2 linked regions of the Elephas maximus indicus genome follow. The protein of the gene in region 1 binds, or shares a complex with, the protein of each later gene. Links are inferred from orthologs where the notes say so. Each region holds a gene or a part of one and is shown on either strand. Other genes may lie near its edges.

The links. Proteins that work in one complex are often made in the same cells at the same time.
Region 2: SNRPD1 (region 1) and GEMIN4 share a complex: the UniProt entries of both Homo sapiens proteins name them as parts of the SMN-Sm complex. The link is inferred for Elephas maximus indicus from reciprocal best matches to the Homo sapiens genes SNRPD1 and GEMIN4.

Annotation. Positions count from the first base shown.
Region 1 is NC_064829.1:27,456,385-27,463,676, forward strand, and holds the start of SNRPD1 (small nuclear ribonucleoprotein Sm D1), read left to right. Parts: upstream 1-4,266; 5' UTR 4,267-4,410; coding exon 4,411-4,424; intron 4,425-7,292. UniProt on the Homo sapiens protein: Plays a role in pre-mRNA splicing as a core component of the spliceosomal U1, U2, U4 and U5 small nuclear ribonucleoproteins (snRNPs), the building blocks of the spliceosome.
Region 2 is NC_064837.1:20,925,932-20,933,391, forward strand, and holds the start of GEMIN4 (gem-associated protein 4), read right to left. Parts: upstream 3,015-7,460; 5' UTR 2,962-3,014; coding exon 2,952-2,961; intron 1,068-2,951; coding exon 1-1,067. Other genes in the region: diazepam-binding inhibitor-like 5, read left to right, coding at 4,097-4,360. UniProt on the Homo sapiens protein: The SMN complex catalyzes the assembly of small nuclear ribonucleoproteins (snRNPs), the building blocks of the spliceosome, and thereby plays an important role in the splicing of cellular pre-mRNAs.

The DNA of each region.
Region 1 (7,292 bases):
TCACCAACGTTTCGGCTAGTAGTCAAGCTCTTATTTTGTGCCACACAGGGACTAATTAGTTACTTCTAGTAACTTTACTAACTCGAATTCTGGCATTAAAAAAAAAAAAATTCTGGCATACACACATAAAATTATAGTACAAGCTTCCATTCCCACAAAACAGGCCTCTGCTTCTAAGTGATCTATTTCACTGTATTTGTTGTATTGGTCACAATTAGGAGTATAATTTTACAAATGTCAGACCACATGAAAGTAGATGTACTGATTTTTGGTACAGAAGTAAATCATATTTAATGTATAATTCATTTCTAATTTATTCTAGATTTTCTTTTCAAAAATTATTTCTTAAACATGCTATGAAAGTATAAAGTCATTCACTTTTATGGGAAAATAAGCTTTCTTAGACATTATTCTTTATCATTTTGAAGTATATTTTCACTTCTGATTCATTAGCTCTCAATTTGTAGTTTGATTAACTCAATTATTCTGAAATATCATATTGGCAAAATTTGTTTTGCCTTCTATCAGTGGTTCTCTTTTAAAACAATCTATGAGCTTTGGAATTTGGTGCATTTAATTTAGTTGTGCACTACAAAATAATCATGATCAGCCAAATAAATTTCTCCCCTGACTGAGTTTTCAGTTTTTTCTAAGAAATAGTAAAGAATTTGGGTTTTTGCAAATGATGATCAATGAGAAGCCTAGCATTGAACTGAACTGATGGAGGAATGTAGGTCACAATTGAAATATAGAAATACAAGTTTTGGGTTCAGAAGGGGCCTGGGACTAGCAAGAGATAGTTTCTCAGACAACTATAAGAAAATATTCAACTTAAAGGAAGAAGTGTTTGGTAATCCAAAGAAAATGTTAGCTGGGTCTCTCTTAGTTCAAAAATAACTGAAAACCACCTCGAACTAATATAGAGGAAAAAAAGAAATTTATTGCTACTGTAAGTACAAACTGCAGGGGAACCGCTGACCTCAGGACATCCTGAAACCTGAGGTTCAGGTGATGTCAACAGGACAATGTCTCTCCAACTCTCAGCTCTTCTTTCATCTGTACTGGCTTCATTCTCAACCAAGCTCTCCCAACAACATGGCAAAGACTATGTTGAGCTCACAGCAAACTGATTCCAGTAAAGAGAGAGGTCCTTATGCCTGTGAGCTCCAGAGAAAGTCCTAGGGGAGAGCTGTGATTGGTTCAGCTTTTGCCATGTGCCCATGCTAGAAACAAACACTGTGCTTAGATATACAGAACTTAGATGGTTATCTAAATGGTGAAGGGTTTTTTTTCACAACATGTACACCAAGATTTGCAAGCTTCTGCCCTAAGCTCTGTTCCTAAATTCAAAACAGTAAACGTACTTTCTTGGACTTGTTTGGAGCCCTGGCGGTGCAGTGGTTAAGAGCTTGGCTGCTAACCAAAAGGCAAGCAGTGCTCCTTGGAAACCCTATGAGGCAGTTCTACTCTGTCCTATAGGGTCGCTGAGTCAGAATCAGCTCGAAGGCAACAGGTCTTATGCATGTGATTTTTGTTGTTGTTTTTTCAGGCGGGGGGCTTGTTTAAATTGTCCATTTTCCTTGCTGGCTCAGAATTGCCGATTGTACTTTTCTGGACTCGCTTATCGTTAATTAGGGCATCTACTTCTAAAAACTGGTAATGCAATAGTTGTCTTGCCCCACATACCACATTCTCATTTCCTTGTTTCTTGTGACTAATCTAAATGCCTGTAACATATGTAAAACCTCTGCTAATTTCCAGAAGACAGGGCAGTCTCATTTTCAAACTGACCATCCTGCTAGCAGCAAATAAAGGCTTTATCTTTGTTGCTCCACTTTTGTGAATTTTATTTCAGTACTCTTTTGACAGTTTTGTACTTATAAGAGTAAAAATTCTAACATTTCAAGCTAGAAAACAAAAACAAAAAGTATAGCAATTTACAGGAAACTTATGGGGCAATGGGTTTATGTTAATGAAGAAGAACAATTCAGAAAATGAGGGCAAAAATGGTTGTGCAACTTGAAGAATGTAATCAGTGTCACTGAATTGTACACGTAGAAATTGTTGAATTGGTGTGTGCACAGATGTGTATGTTCTCAACAACAAAAAATAAAATAAATTAAAAAATTATAGCAATTTGGTATAAACCAACTGACAATGCCATTTCAATTTGCCCTCCTCTGGAAGCCCCACCACTATTAGATACAAGAAATAATTCCCCACTTACTTGACAGGAGATGAGTAGGTATTAGCCAGATCAAAAAAAATGCATGTACAAAATCTGGAGAGGAAAATGAGCTTGATGAGTTCCAATAACTCAAATATTCTAATGCTATTGAGAGGAAATGGATTAAGAGGTAGTCAAAGCCCAAATTAGGAAGCGCTTGAGGACAATACCAGTAAGTACCCAGGGAGAAAGGTGTAGCAGTCTGCTACCATAAAGATTTCAGCCTTGGAAATTCCATGGGGAAGTTCTACTCTGTCCTGCAGGGTCGCTATGAGTCAGAATCACCTCGACAACAACTGGTTTGGTTTGGTTTGGCTCAGCACTAGGGATGCTGCAATCAACAACACACACAAGGTCTCTTCTTGGAGGAGCATACATTCTAATGGAAAAGACAAGCCATTATTTCACAAATATTGATTGAGGGCACATTATGTGCAAGGCACTATTCTAAGTGCTAAGGATGCTACAGTGAACAGAACAAATACAAATGCCCTTTCACAGTTGACACTCTTGTGTCAGACAGTAAATAAGTTATCAAATAAATGCTAAGAAGGAAACAAATATGGTAATAAATAGAGCAGCAGTGTCCAACAAAACTTTCTGCAATGAAAGAAATGCTCCATATCTTTTTTGTCCAAAAGAGTAGCCACAGCCACATATAGCTATTGAACACTTGAAATGTGGCTATTGCAACTGAAGAGCTGAATTTTTAATCTAACTTCATTTTAATTTAAATTCCACACTCAGGCACAGCTTGATCCAGCAGCTCATTACTATCACCATGGGTTTTTGTCTGTTTATTAACTCTCCGTCCTGAGACTCTTTATTCTCATAGTACTAAGGCAAGTCCCAACACAACAACCGAACGAAAACTTTCATTTTAAAATTTTCCCCAATGAGTCCTATGAACATTAAAGTTTGATGAATATTGTTGCGTCATAACATCCTAGAATTCTGGTGATCAGGGATTAAGTTCATGCTGGAGATACAAATTAAAGCCATGGTTTGGAGGAGATTACCTACCTACAGGAGAAAGTATTCATACAAAGATTACCGTTTAGGGTACGTTGAGAAAGGAGTGTTTCAAAAGGAAGTGCTTATGTTGAACACTGATGAGATGCTGAGTACCACAAAGATAGAAAAGTTTGTCTTGGAGGTTTCTGATCCCCTTTGAAAAGCAACGTCAGTGAAGTAGTTTGCAAAGTGACCTAGAAGTGATGAAACAAGTAGAGATAGCTCATTCAAGAAGTTTTCCTGTTAAAAAATGGGGCAGTAGCTAGGGCTGAAGCAGAGAGAACTTGGCTTTGTTTTTAAGGTAAATTTGAATGCTGATGGGAAAAAAATCAGTAAAATAGGAGAAAGAGTAGAGTTAGAGAGAAATAACTGAAGGAACGAAATTCTTGAGAAATTGAGAGATGGGATCCAAACTACTAAGAAAAGGAGTTTGTCTTTGAAAGGAGCGACATTACTTTTAGCCTTGTAAAAGGAGAGAAGGCAAAAGGATGGCATCTGTTTTCTGAACGTGTGAAATATTAGTAGAAAGATTTGGTAGTGAGACTGTAGAAAGTTTGAGGGGGACAGAAGGTATGAAAGAGTTGGTGAGCTTACTAGAAAAGAGTAACAGTCTTTCTGGGCAATGTAAGGTGCCCATCTGAGGTTTATGATCAGAACTTAAATGCAAATAATAAGTTAAATTGGGAGATTTTCTTCAGGTAGGTTAGGCAATGGTGAGGTAGGTTCTGGGTGCTCTGTCGATCTAGAGTTAGAATAATCTTTTGGGCTTCTCTTAGAACTTCCCTTTATTCGGGGGGATATTCGGAGGGGTGTAATGCACGGTGCCTTGCCGCGAGAAAACGTGATGGCGACAGGCCTCCGAACTGGATTTGATCTCCCCAAATTTTCCTCTTGCTGGAAATTTCCTCCCAGACCAGCCCTAGCCGCCCTCAGCAGTCGCAAGGCACACCTCCAGGCACCAGGGGGTGCAGTCGTGCTCCTCACGGCCGGAAGAGAGCCGGATCAGCTCAACCTCTACGTTTCCGCCGTGCGTTCGCAGGGCTCCGCGCGCTCTTTACGTCCGGAGCCCCGGGAGTAGGAGTTTCCGGCCATTCATACCCCCGTTCGGTCGGGACTCTGTTCTCTGGTCTTGTGCGCTATCGGGCCGAAAGAGTGACGGCGCCGCTAGGATGAAGCTCGTGAGGTGAGAAGGCTACGAAGCGGCGTGCGGGTTGTGAAGGGAGGGTTTGGGCCGGAGTTGGGAGACTGGCTTCCCCAGCTGCAGGAGGCGCGAAAGCCGCGTGCGCGCGCGCGGCCTGGTAACGGCCTCCGGCGCCAGCCGCTCCCGTCCGGGTCTTGGCCGCGCGGGCGGTGCTGCGGGCCGGGCTTCAGACTGGGTCGCGAGGGATCGATCTGCTCTTCCAAAAGGTGGACGCAAAGGCGGGGACGTTTCTTCCCACTTAATGTCTTAAAGTCTTTCACGGTGCTTTCCCGGGTTTACGAGCTCTTTCGCCTAGTTACCGATACCGATTTTCTTTTCGAGGGGGAACTCGTGCTCTAGTCTAGGTTACTTTTCTGGCCCGTCTCAACTCCTGAGAACAGGCTACTATGAGTAGGTCCATGTGCCCTAAGGAGGCGGGAGCCATCGAGAAAAATTGTATGCCTTCCGTGAGAAGTTCTTTAAATGAATGCGTTTTTCGTGATCAAATTGTTATCGTCGGTTTAAATGAGTACTTAGAAGCAGCATGGCTTTATCTGGAAATATTGAAGTGTACTTCTAAAATATTTTAAATATATATATGTGTAGCTTTTTTGATATAGCTTAAGATATTGTTCAACCTACATTTTCTATAAGGTAGACTTTTAGGAAAATCTCCCAATATTCGTATTTGTGGCTAATTACACAGATAATAAGTTTTACTTCCATTTTTTCTCTTCTTTGACTTTATACTTTGTCCGTTAGCTGTGCCTACTGAAGACTTGTTTACCGGTTTGAGTACTTCATTCCATACTACCTGTAAATACATATGGTTTGGCTATTTTTCCTTTTAACTGATCTCGAAACAAAGGGGTAGAGGCTTCTACTAAGTGAGCGGTTATATTTAGTTAGTTTTTTTGTTGTTGTTCTGTTGAGTCAAGGATTGTTAATGTCAACGAAATTCTTACTATTGTTCACCTGTTATTCTGTGCGCTGGTAATAGAACCATTAAAAAAAAAAAAAAAACATCTCCACCTTGTTGGAGTGGTAAAGACAGACAAGTAGATACTTTCTGCTATGCATGAAATAATATAAAATTCTCAGTGTTTCTGTAGATCGCATGCATGGTTAATTTGTAGTCCATATTTATATGGAATGTAGCTTTGGAGAAAAACGGCTCAAATTTAAAGAATATTTTTGCAATTTCTGAATACCTTCCAGTCTATATCTATTTACAGTTAGGTTTTATGTAATATTCTTTGGATTCAGTTTGTCCTGTTTAAAGGCATTTCGTGTTGCGACAGAATTTTCTTGTAATTTTTAATGGCTGTAGTGAAACCAGAAGGTCAGTGGTTCAAACCCACCAGCCGCTCTGTTGGAGAAAGATGTGGCAGTCTGTTTCTGTACAGATTTATAGCCTTAGAAACCCTGTGGGGCAGTTTTACGGTGTCCTATAGGGTCACTATGAATCAAAATCAACTCAACAGTAGCGGATGATGTTAATGTACTGAAACCCATTCTGTGACTTCGGTAGAATATAGAAACAAAATTTCTTGCTGGAAAATGTGTTTTGCCTGGAGGAAATGATGTTTCACTGACTAGCTTGTGTTTTCATTTGGCTTTAATCCTGTGCCTAAGTCGGTGACACTATCGTTCATATCCTTACAGTCACTCTAACCAAAAACCTGGGAGTCTTGTCCCTGACTTCTTCCTCTCCCTGATAATCCTTACGTTTGAGAAATCACTAGATTTTGCCAATTATTCTTCACAGAAGTATCTCTACTGTCCAATTCTGTTTGGTTTTTGAGTTCAGATAGTGTGAGTTTGGATACTGAAGGAAACCATGTTATCTGGATCTCCTTGATTCTAAATTATGAATAGTAAGTAGAAAGATTTCAGGTAGTGAAATTTTCATCAGAAAATAATTTGAATTTATTTGACTCCTGGGCTCTGATAGAAAGGAATAACTCTCTATTTGCCCTCTCCACAATACCTTCTCTTTCATTCCAATCACCACAACTGAAGTGCAGGCTCTTTTTTTCTCCCCATAGACTCTCTTTTTTTTCCTCCTTCTGAGGTATATATTTCATACAATGACAGGAAAGAAAGAAAAGACCAAGATGGATGTCAGAGAACCCTCTGAAACTTACGAACATTGAGCAGCTAAAGTAAAAGGAAGAATTGATGAAGCAAAAGAACTGAACAGAAGATTTCAAAGCGTGACTCGAGAAGACAAAGTATTATAATGACATGTGCGAAGAGCTGGAGATAGAAAACCAAAAGGGAAGAACACGCTTGGTGTTTCTCAAGCTGAAAGAACTGAGGTAAAAATTCAAACCTCGAGTTGCAATAGTGAAGGATTCTATGGGAAGAATATTAAACGACGCAGGAGGCATCAAAAGAAGATGGAAGGAATATACAGAGTTATACCAAAAAGAATTAGTCGACGTTCAACCATTTCAAGAGGCAGCGTATGATCAGGAACTGATGGTACTGAAGGAAGAAGTCCAGGCTGCTCTGAAGGCATTGGCGAAAAACAAGGCTCCAGGAATTGACGGAATATCAGTTGAGATGTTTCAAGAAATGGATGCAGTGCTGGAGGTGCTCGCTCGTCTATGCCAAGAAACATGGAAGACAGCTTCCTGGCCAGCTAACTGGAAGAGATCCATATTTATGCCTATTCCCAAGAAAGGTGACCTAACTGAATGTGGAAATTACATAACAATATCATCAGTATCACATGCAAGCAATATTTTACAGAAGATCATTCAAAAACGGTGCAACACTATGTCGACAGGGAACTGCCAGACATTCAGAAGAGGACGTGGAACCAGGGATATTATTGCTGATGTCAGATGGATCCTGGCTGAAAGC
Region 2 (7,460 bases), on another chromosome or scaffold:
CTTCAAGTTCTGGCTGAAGGAAGTCAGACTGTCACACAGCCGGTAGCTATCGTAGCTTGTCCCCTGGCTGCTGTTGAGCATGGCCTGCAGCTCTTCTCCCCACTCCCGCAGCAGGCTGAGCATGTACTCAAACCCAACAAACAGCGTCTCAGTTGGGAGCCTGGCCAGCGAGTTCAGGCTGACATCCCGCTCTGCCTCCTTTACCTTCTCTGTCAGCGCCTGTTGGTGGTATGGCTTCTGGGTGTCTGAATTCCACACGGAAATGACGGTTGCCAGTTTGTCCAGATACACGGTGGCAGACACTTCCTGGGGGTCCTCCTCCACAAGGGCAAACACCGTCAGCATGTCGGCCAAGTTGGCCAATGCGCAGCACTTCATTCCAGGACACAGGATTTTATTCTGGATTTGCTTCAGCCCGTTGAGCAGCATGGCCAACAGGGGCATGGTGGGACACACATCTGGGTCTGACTTGAACCTCTTTGGAGGATGGCAGAAGTCATCTGAAGAAGACAAATACTTATGGGCCATTGTCCTAAACTGCGAGAGCAGAGGGTCCTGCTGATTGCCCTTGTGCTTCATCATTTCCCACCAGATGTCTAGGAAGAAGGCCACATCCTTTGAAGAAGTGTTAACAGTCATGTGTTCCAAAAAGCGCTCTAGCTCTACGCGGCAGATGGTGGTGGGCAGGGCCATCAGGAGCTGGATAAAGAGTCCAGAAGCTTCCAGGGACTTGAGCAGCTCAAAAAGGATTGTGTGATTGATAGTGGGGAGCATGTTGCCTACTGAGAAAAACACATCCTCCTGCCACCGGGTTTCAGTGTCAGAAGGGGTGGCAGGGTAGGGCTGAAGAACCTTGGCCCAGATAATGATCAGAGCTTTCTTCTTCCAGGCAAAGGGCTGGGAGCACGCTGTGGCCGAGATCTCTTTCAGGGCCTCCACAATGGGCTGCCCAACATGTTCCCAGTCAGACTTGGTCAATTCTGCCAGTGCTTTGGGGCGGAAAAGCTGCTCGGCCAGCAAGAAGCCCCCATGCAGAATAGTCATTTCTTCACAGATGTTCAAGGGGCCTGCGTGGAAAGAAGCCAAAGAAAGTGGTGAAAATTTTTAAATAAGTAAGCAGAAGTTAGAGGGAGAGACAGCACTTAGGCTGGCTGTCACTATCAGGGTTAGAGAGGACAAGGTTTTAGATGAGATCAGTGAGAAGGGGAGAGGAGGGATAGTTACAAAAGCCACTGCAGAGCTGGAGTGAGACTTAGCTGAGGAATAAAAAATGACTCACAGGTTCTCTAGCCTGGGAACTGGGAGGCCAAGGAGCACCATTAGAAACAGGTAACAGAGGAGAAGACAAGTTTGGTTTTGGTTATTTGAAGTCTGAGGTAAAACGTTAAGATAGAGGTGTCCTCCAGCAACAGGAAACGCAGGTCTAAGGCTCAAGAAGAAAGTCAGCACTGAAATGTGACTTTGGTAGCTGTCTGACCAGGGGGGAGCCCTGAAACCAAGGCTCAGGATGTTCCGCCAGGGTCCCAAAGATTCTGTAAATTTAATTTCATTGCTCTTTGAATTTACTTAGAGCTGATGTCTGGCTCCCAACACTCCTGCCTTCCAGAGACAACAGTATGTACATGTGCTACTTGAAGTAATAAGCCCCCAAGCAGTTAATAGCTGGGTAACTTCCAAGTGCTTTATGACTAGCTGGTACTTGGGGGTACGCACCGTTTATTAACTGCTTACTCTATGTCAGGCACTGTGCCAAGCACACATACCAAAAAAAAAAAAAAAACAACCACTGACATCGAGTCAATTCCGACTCATAGTGCCCCTATAGATCTTTTAATCTTCAAAACAACTTTCTGGGGACCATGATTCCTGTTTTAGACACGGGAACACTGAGGCCCAGGAACACTTAATATGCTCAGAGTGTCACAACTACAAAGTGGTGGGACTCGGACAGAAACCACCACAGCTGCAGGGCTCCAAACCCTTCAAGCGCTGCCATTCTACCACTGGAGGGCTGAGGGGACAGGGCCCAGGACATTTCTCTATAGCTGACTAGGGTATCACCCCCTTAACAGCATAGCCAGCGAGGTGGGAGGCTTCAGAACGGGGGAGCAATTTATATACACTTCTCCCTCCGTTTTTCCAACCATGCCTAAGAGGACTCTGAATCAAGATGCCCGCAGGTTCAAAGGCACCATCTCAGCTGCAATCATTCCCACCAAACCCCAAAACCAAACCTATTACCATCGAGTCGATTCTGACTCCTAGCGACGCTATAGGAGAGTAGAACTGCCCTATAGAGTTTCCAAGAAGAACCTGGTGGATCTGAACTACCAACCTTTTGGTTGGCAGCCGTAGAACGTAACCACTAAGCCACCAGGGTTTCCAACCACTCCAACAACCGCCACAAATTCGACGGGCTTGCTGTGCGGTAGGCGCTGTACCCGACCCTGTCTGTATACACGTGAACTCAAAACTCTCAAAAGCTCTATGAAGTAGATACATTATCATCGCCCCCATTTTCATCGATGAGGAAACCTGATGAGGGTAAGAAACTTGCCCAAGAACTTAGTTCAATAAATGTGCCAGTTCAAGGCACCCCTGAGTTCCCCGGGGCCTCCGAGCCAGCCTTTTCCAAACCACGTGCACTAACCCTTCCCACTTTCAGAAAACCTAACTCCACATCCGCCTGGCTTTTCACCCGGAAAGGGGCCGGGAGAGGGCAAGAGGCGGTCAAGTAACAGCCAGCCAGGGGCTAGAGCCCGGCCTCTGGATCCTGGGTTTCCAAGGACATCCCCGCCCGCCAAAACCTCTGCCCGACCGGGAGGTGCTTTTTGGCCGGGGCCCTCCCGAGCGTGCGCAGCGGGAGTGGGAGGGCCGGGCAGAACCGCTCTAGTTCCCCGTTGCGGGACGTGGTCCGGGCTGGCCCGGGACTCGGGGACCGCGACACCCACCTAGGTCCATGGCGGCGGCGCTGCCGGCGGCGTGGGGCCGCCCCTCCCCCTCAGAGGCGGCGAGTGCGGCGCAGGCGCCACGCCACAATGGGCGGGGCAGGGGGAGGTACAATGGGCCGCGCCTCAGTCCCCGCCCACAGCCTCAACACTCGCTCCCTCCGGGACCGCGGCCCCGCTCCGCCGCTCAGCGCGCACGCGCAGCTCCTACCAACTAGCCCGCGGCGCCGAGCCCGCAGCGCCCCCTATCGGCCAGAGCCCTCCCGCCAGCCAACCAGCAGGTACCTGCACCTCCCTCCCGCGGCTGCGTGCCCCGCCCCGGCCCTCCCGCTCTCTAGTCCCCGCCCCGGCCTTGGCTCCAACCCCGGCCGCGCTCCCTTTCAAGGCTCTACTCAGCCACCCATCCGCCCAGTACCATTCCCAGATCAGCTTCCTGAATACCAGTCGGCCTACCCATTAGCCCCGTCCCTGGCCCCACACTCACCCCCACACACAGTTCACCCAAACGGAATGCCCCTCCGCAGGCTGCCCACTAACCCGCATAAACAGACACAACACACTGAGGGGCTTCCTGCCCCAGAGCAGGTCTCCCCGTCTGTCTCAGAAACACACATAGGCCCCCAGCGCTTCTCATCCCACACCGCCTCCCGTCAAAACCAAACCCGTTGCCGTCGAGTCGATTCCGACTCATAGCGACCCTATAGGGCAGAGGAGAACTGCGCCATAACGATTTCCAAGCAGGGCCTGGTGGATTTGAACTGCTGACCTTTTGGTCAGCAGCCTCGCTCTTAACCACTGCACCACCAGGGTTTCCAATTTTAGGTCCGGATGCCTAAATTGGAAGCGTAGTCCTCCCCGCAAAATGACTGTGCAAGCCAAAACAAAACAAAAAAACAAACGTGGGGCGGATCCAACCCAACATGCCACCAGTTTGCAATCTGTACTTCATAAAGGCACACATTTGATTTTTCACTGAGAAAACACATGGAAATATCCTGTGTTCTCCCCACACACGCCCCGGCTCCCTTTTCCCCTCTCTTCTTCTTTGAGCTAATCATCAGCCTCAAGTTGTTTCTCTCTACCCTCTGAATTTCCTAGCGCCAGATACCACCTAGAAAGGACAGAGGGGCCCGGCCTTACTTACACCAATGGGCCAAGTGGAGTTTGAGCTAGCTTGTGCTGCTGTCAAGGAGCTGAAGGGTCCTGTGAGTGATCAAGAGAAACTCTTGGTATACAGCTTCTACAAACAGGCCACCCAGGGCGACTGCAACATCCCTGCCCCACCCTCCACAGATGTGAAAGCCAAGGCCAAATGGGAGGCATGGAACGAGAACAAAGGGATGACCAAGTTGGATGCCATGAGGATCTATATTTCCAAAGTGGAAGAGCTAAAGAAAAAGGAGGGTGGTTAGGTAGGTCAGATTGGCGGACAGAAGAAAGTAGCACAGTTCCTCTGGTAGAGAAAGGACTCCTTAAGACCTGGAAAGACCTCGATGGCTGAAATGTCCTGAAGCGGTACCAATTTTAGCTGAGACATCAATAAATGACTTAAGCTGCATGAGAGCGATTGTCTGCAGTTGGGAAAGAGATAAACTCCAAGTGACTGGGAAAGTGTCCAAAATTTATAAGAAACATCTCTCTAGGTAAAATTGCGTACTATTGCCAGAGCATATGCAGATATTTGGCAGGAATAGAGGGGTGGGAGGAAGAGCAGTACAACGAAAATGCACAAAATTTGAGGTCAGTAAAGCCATTCTCCAGGAATTCGATGGTTCCTTCTCTCCCAGGGGTTGTTGATCCACTACTAACTCAACAGTACGGAAGGGAATGGGGCTGTCTTCCAAAAACCTAGAGTCAAGTCCCCATTACCCAAAGCCCCCACTGGAACAGATCCCATCAAGTTAATGTTTGGAGGGAAGTCAAACTCCTTGTGACAATGTGGTGAAGTAACTGATGCATCACAACACAGCAGTTGAGAAATACTAGAGAAGATGGTTTCAAAACACCAGCCTCTGGAAGCCTCATCTAAAACCCAGTAACCTAAACTTTCTTTGGACTACTCCCTAACCCTGGTTTCTGCTTGGGGATGTTTGTGGGACAAGACAGCTATGCACGCATGAGTAGGAACCCTAGTGGTGCAGTGGTTAATTGCTCTGCTGCTAATGGAACGATCGGCAGTTTCTCCCTGGGATAAAGATGAGGCAGTCTGTTTCCATAACTATTACAGCCTTGGAAACCCTATGGGGCAGTTATACTCTGTCCTATAGGGCTGCTATGAGTCGGAATCGACTCACCGGCACACAAAACATGTATAAGTAGACTTTGTTTTAGGACACAAGACACCCCTCATACTGCTGTGCAAGGGCCAAAGTGCTTGACCTCACTTCCTACTCTTGTTGGTGATTATCATGGAGGTATCAGTGCACAAAGCACTGTATCTAGTGACTGGCATATGGAGCACTAAATGGTATTATTAAAGACATTTCGGATAAACAGGTCTGCTGTGGCATGGGATTTCCCTCAAAAACTGTTTTTATACATCATGACATTAGGTGAGCCCCAGTTCACGAGAACCATTACACAATAGAAACAACCACCATAAAGACTTCAGGCAACAAAGAAAACCAAGTGTCACCAGGTATCTTCAAGATCTCTGTCCATATATTTGCAGGAAGCTGCTACAGACAAGTAAACTAAGAATGAAGTACACCCAGAAGTCCACAGTGGCCAAAAAATTACTTCTTATGGCCTGTAAATGGGCAAGAGCCACACTGCAGAACAGCAGTGCTGTTCTCTGGGGGAATTATGAATACAATTTGATGCTGTTAGGGACAGGCGTCACATCAAATAATAATAAGCTTCTTAATACAAAATATGGTGTCAATTTAGAAGCTCTTGTTGTAGCTGTACCATTCTGGAAATCATTATGAAACCTGATAAAGTAAAAAATTGCCATAATTAGGAGGGCAGAGAACACTTGTGGTTTATCCCATGACTATATAAAAATGAATGCCTAAAAACAAAAACCTAACCCATCCTCCTCAGGCAACTGTCCTTCACGTACCCTCCTCTTCACTTTTAAAAACAAAATCTTGTTTATCAATATCCACCAGATTAACTACTATCTCGGGATAATTAGATAGTTATCACAAAGTGGAAGGCATTGAAAATAATTCCAGGATGTCTCAGTTCCACAGATGATGAATGGAAGAAATGAATGAGTTGACCATCTGAATCTAGAAGGAAAAGCAGTGGCCTCTAAGATTGGGTGTGTGAGAAAGCAATTTTGAAAAATACACAATTTTAATATGAAAAGCACAATTAGCAGTAAGGAAAAGAGGTGTACAATTATTCACTGTAGCATTGTAGCTTTGTTTGAATAACAAGACTGGAAACATCTGAAGCTTGCATTTGTAAAATATGACATCAATTTCCATAGAAGAAATTTTCTATATACTGAGAGGCAAGATCTCTAGGATATATTACTTAAAAAAAAAAAAAAAAAAGGCAAGGTATAGTATACATAGTATGTTAAATCTTCTCTGTGTGGAGAAATTAGAATATATTTTGATTACCTACGGGGGGTCATTACGAGTTGGAACTGACTCGATGGCAACGGTTTGGTTTTTTGGTATGGGGGCAGGGGAAATGGGGTCAATGGGGATGGGTAGGAGCAAGACTTTTCAATGTATACCTTCTTACATTGTTTTGATTTTTGAACCACGTGCCTCTATTACCTAATAAAGAGATCTGAGGTCAGGTCACTTCCTTAACTGATCATTAAAGTCAGAGTAAATGTCCTGTTGATTTCTCACAGGGTAACGGTAAGAAATCTTAGACCAAAATGGGGAAACTTCCCATTAACTCTCATCACTTTCAGTGGACAGGCTGGAGCTCTCCTGAAAACTGGCTGTTAAACCGCAATGGCACGTGTGGCAGGAGAGATGGGTAAAAGTGTCACAGAAAGGCGCACTGAATGTCCATGGGCTTTGCCACTTCTACCAAGCTGTCGGGCAGACGTGGCCTTCAGACAGCTAACTCTCTCAGGCCACCCTAGAACCCCTGCACCACTGCCGTTCTACATCTCTGGATTTCAACTCAAGGCACGCTTGAACTTACACTTAATATACTAGGACTTCAAAACCTCTCAATTAAAGTAACAAAATTACTACTCTGAAAATGTAACTCTAGAGAAACAAAAGAGCTTTCCAACTTCATCGGCTTAGAACAGTAGCCTGGGCAAAACCATCTTCTTATAACCTTTTCTAATTGATTACACCATCCCCAGAAGTGGGAAAGTAATTGTAACTTTTGCTTTAATAGCAGACGAACTGTGCAGAAGTCAAACTTCTGGATTCTTTGGTAAAAGTCCCAAGCTGTACACTAAATGGTTTTAGGAAGAATAAAATACTAAAGATTGCAACAAGGGAAGAAAAGGTGGGCAACGAGCTAAATAAAAGGAGGCTGATATCAAAAGACCAAAATGTGCCAGGTGGACAGTGGCATTAACTT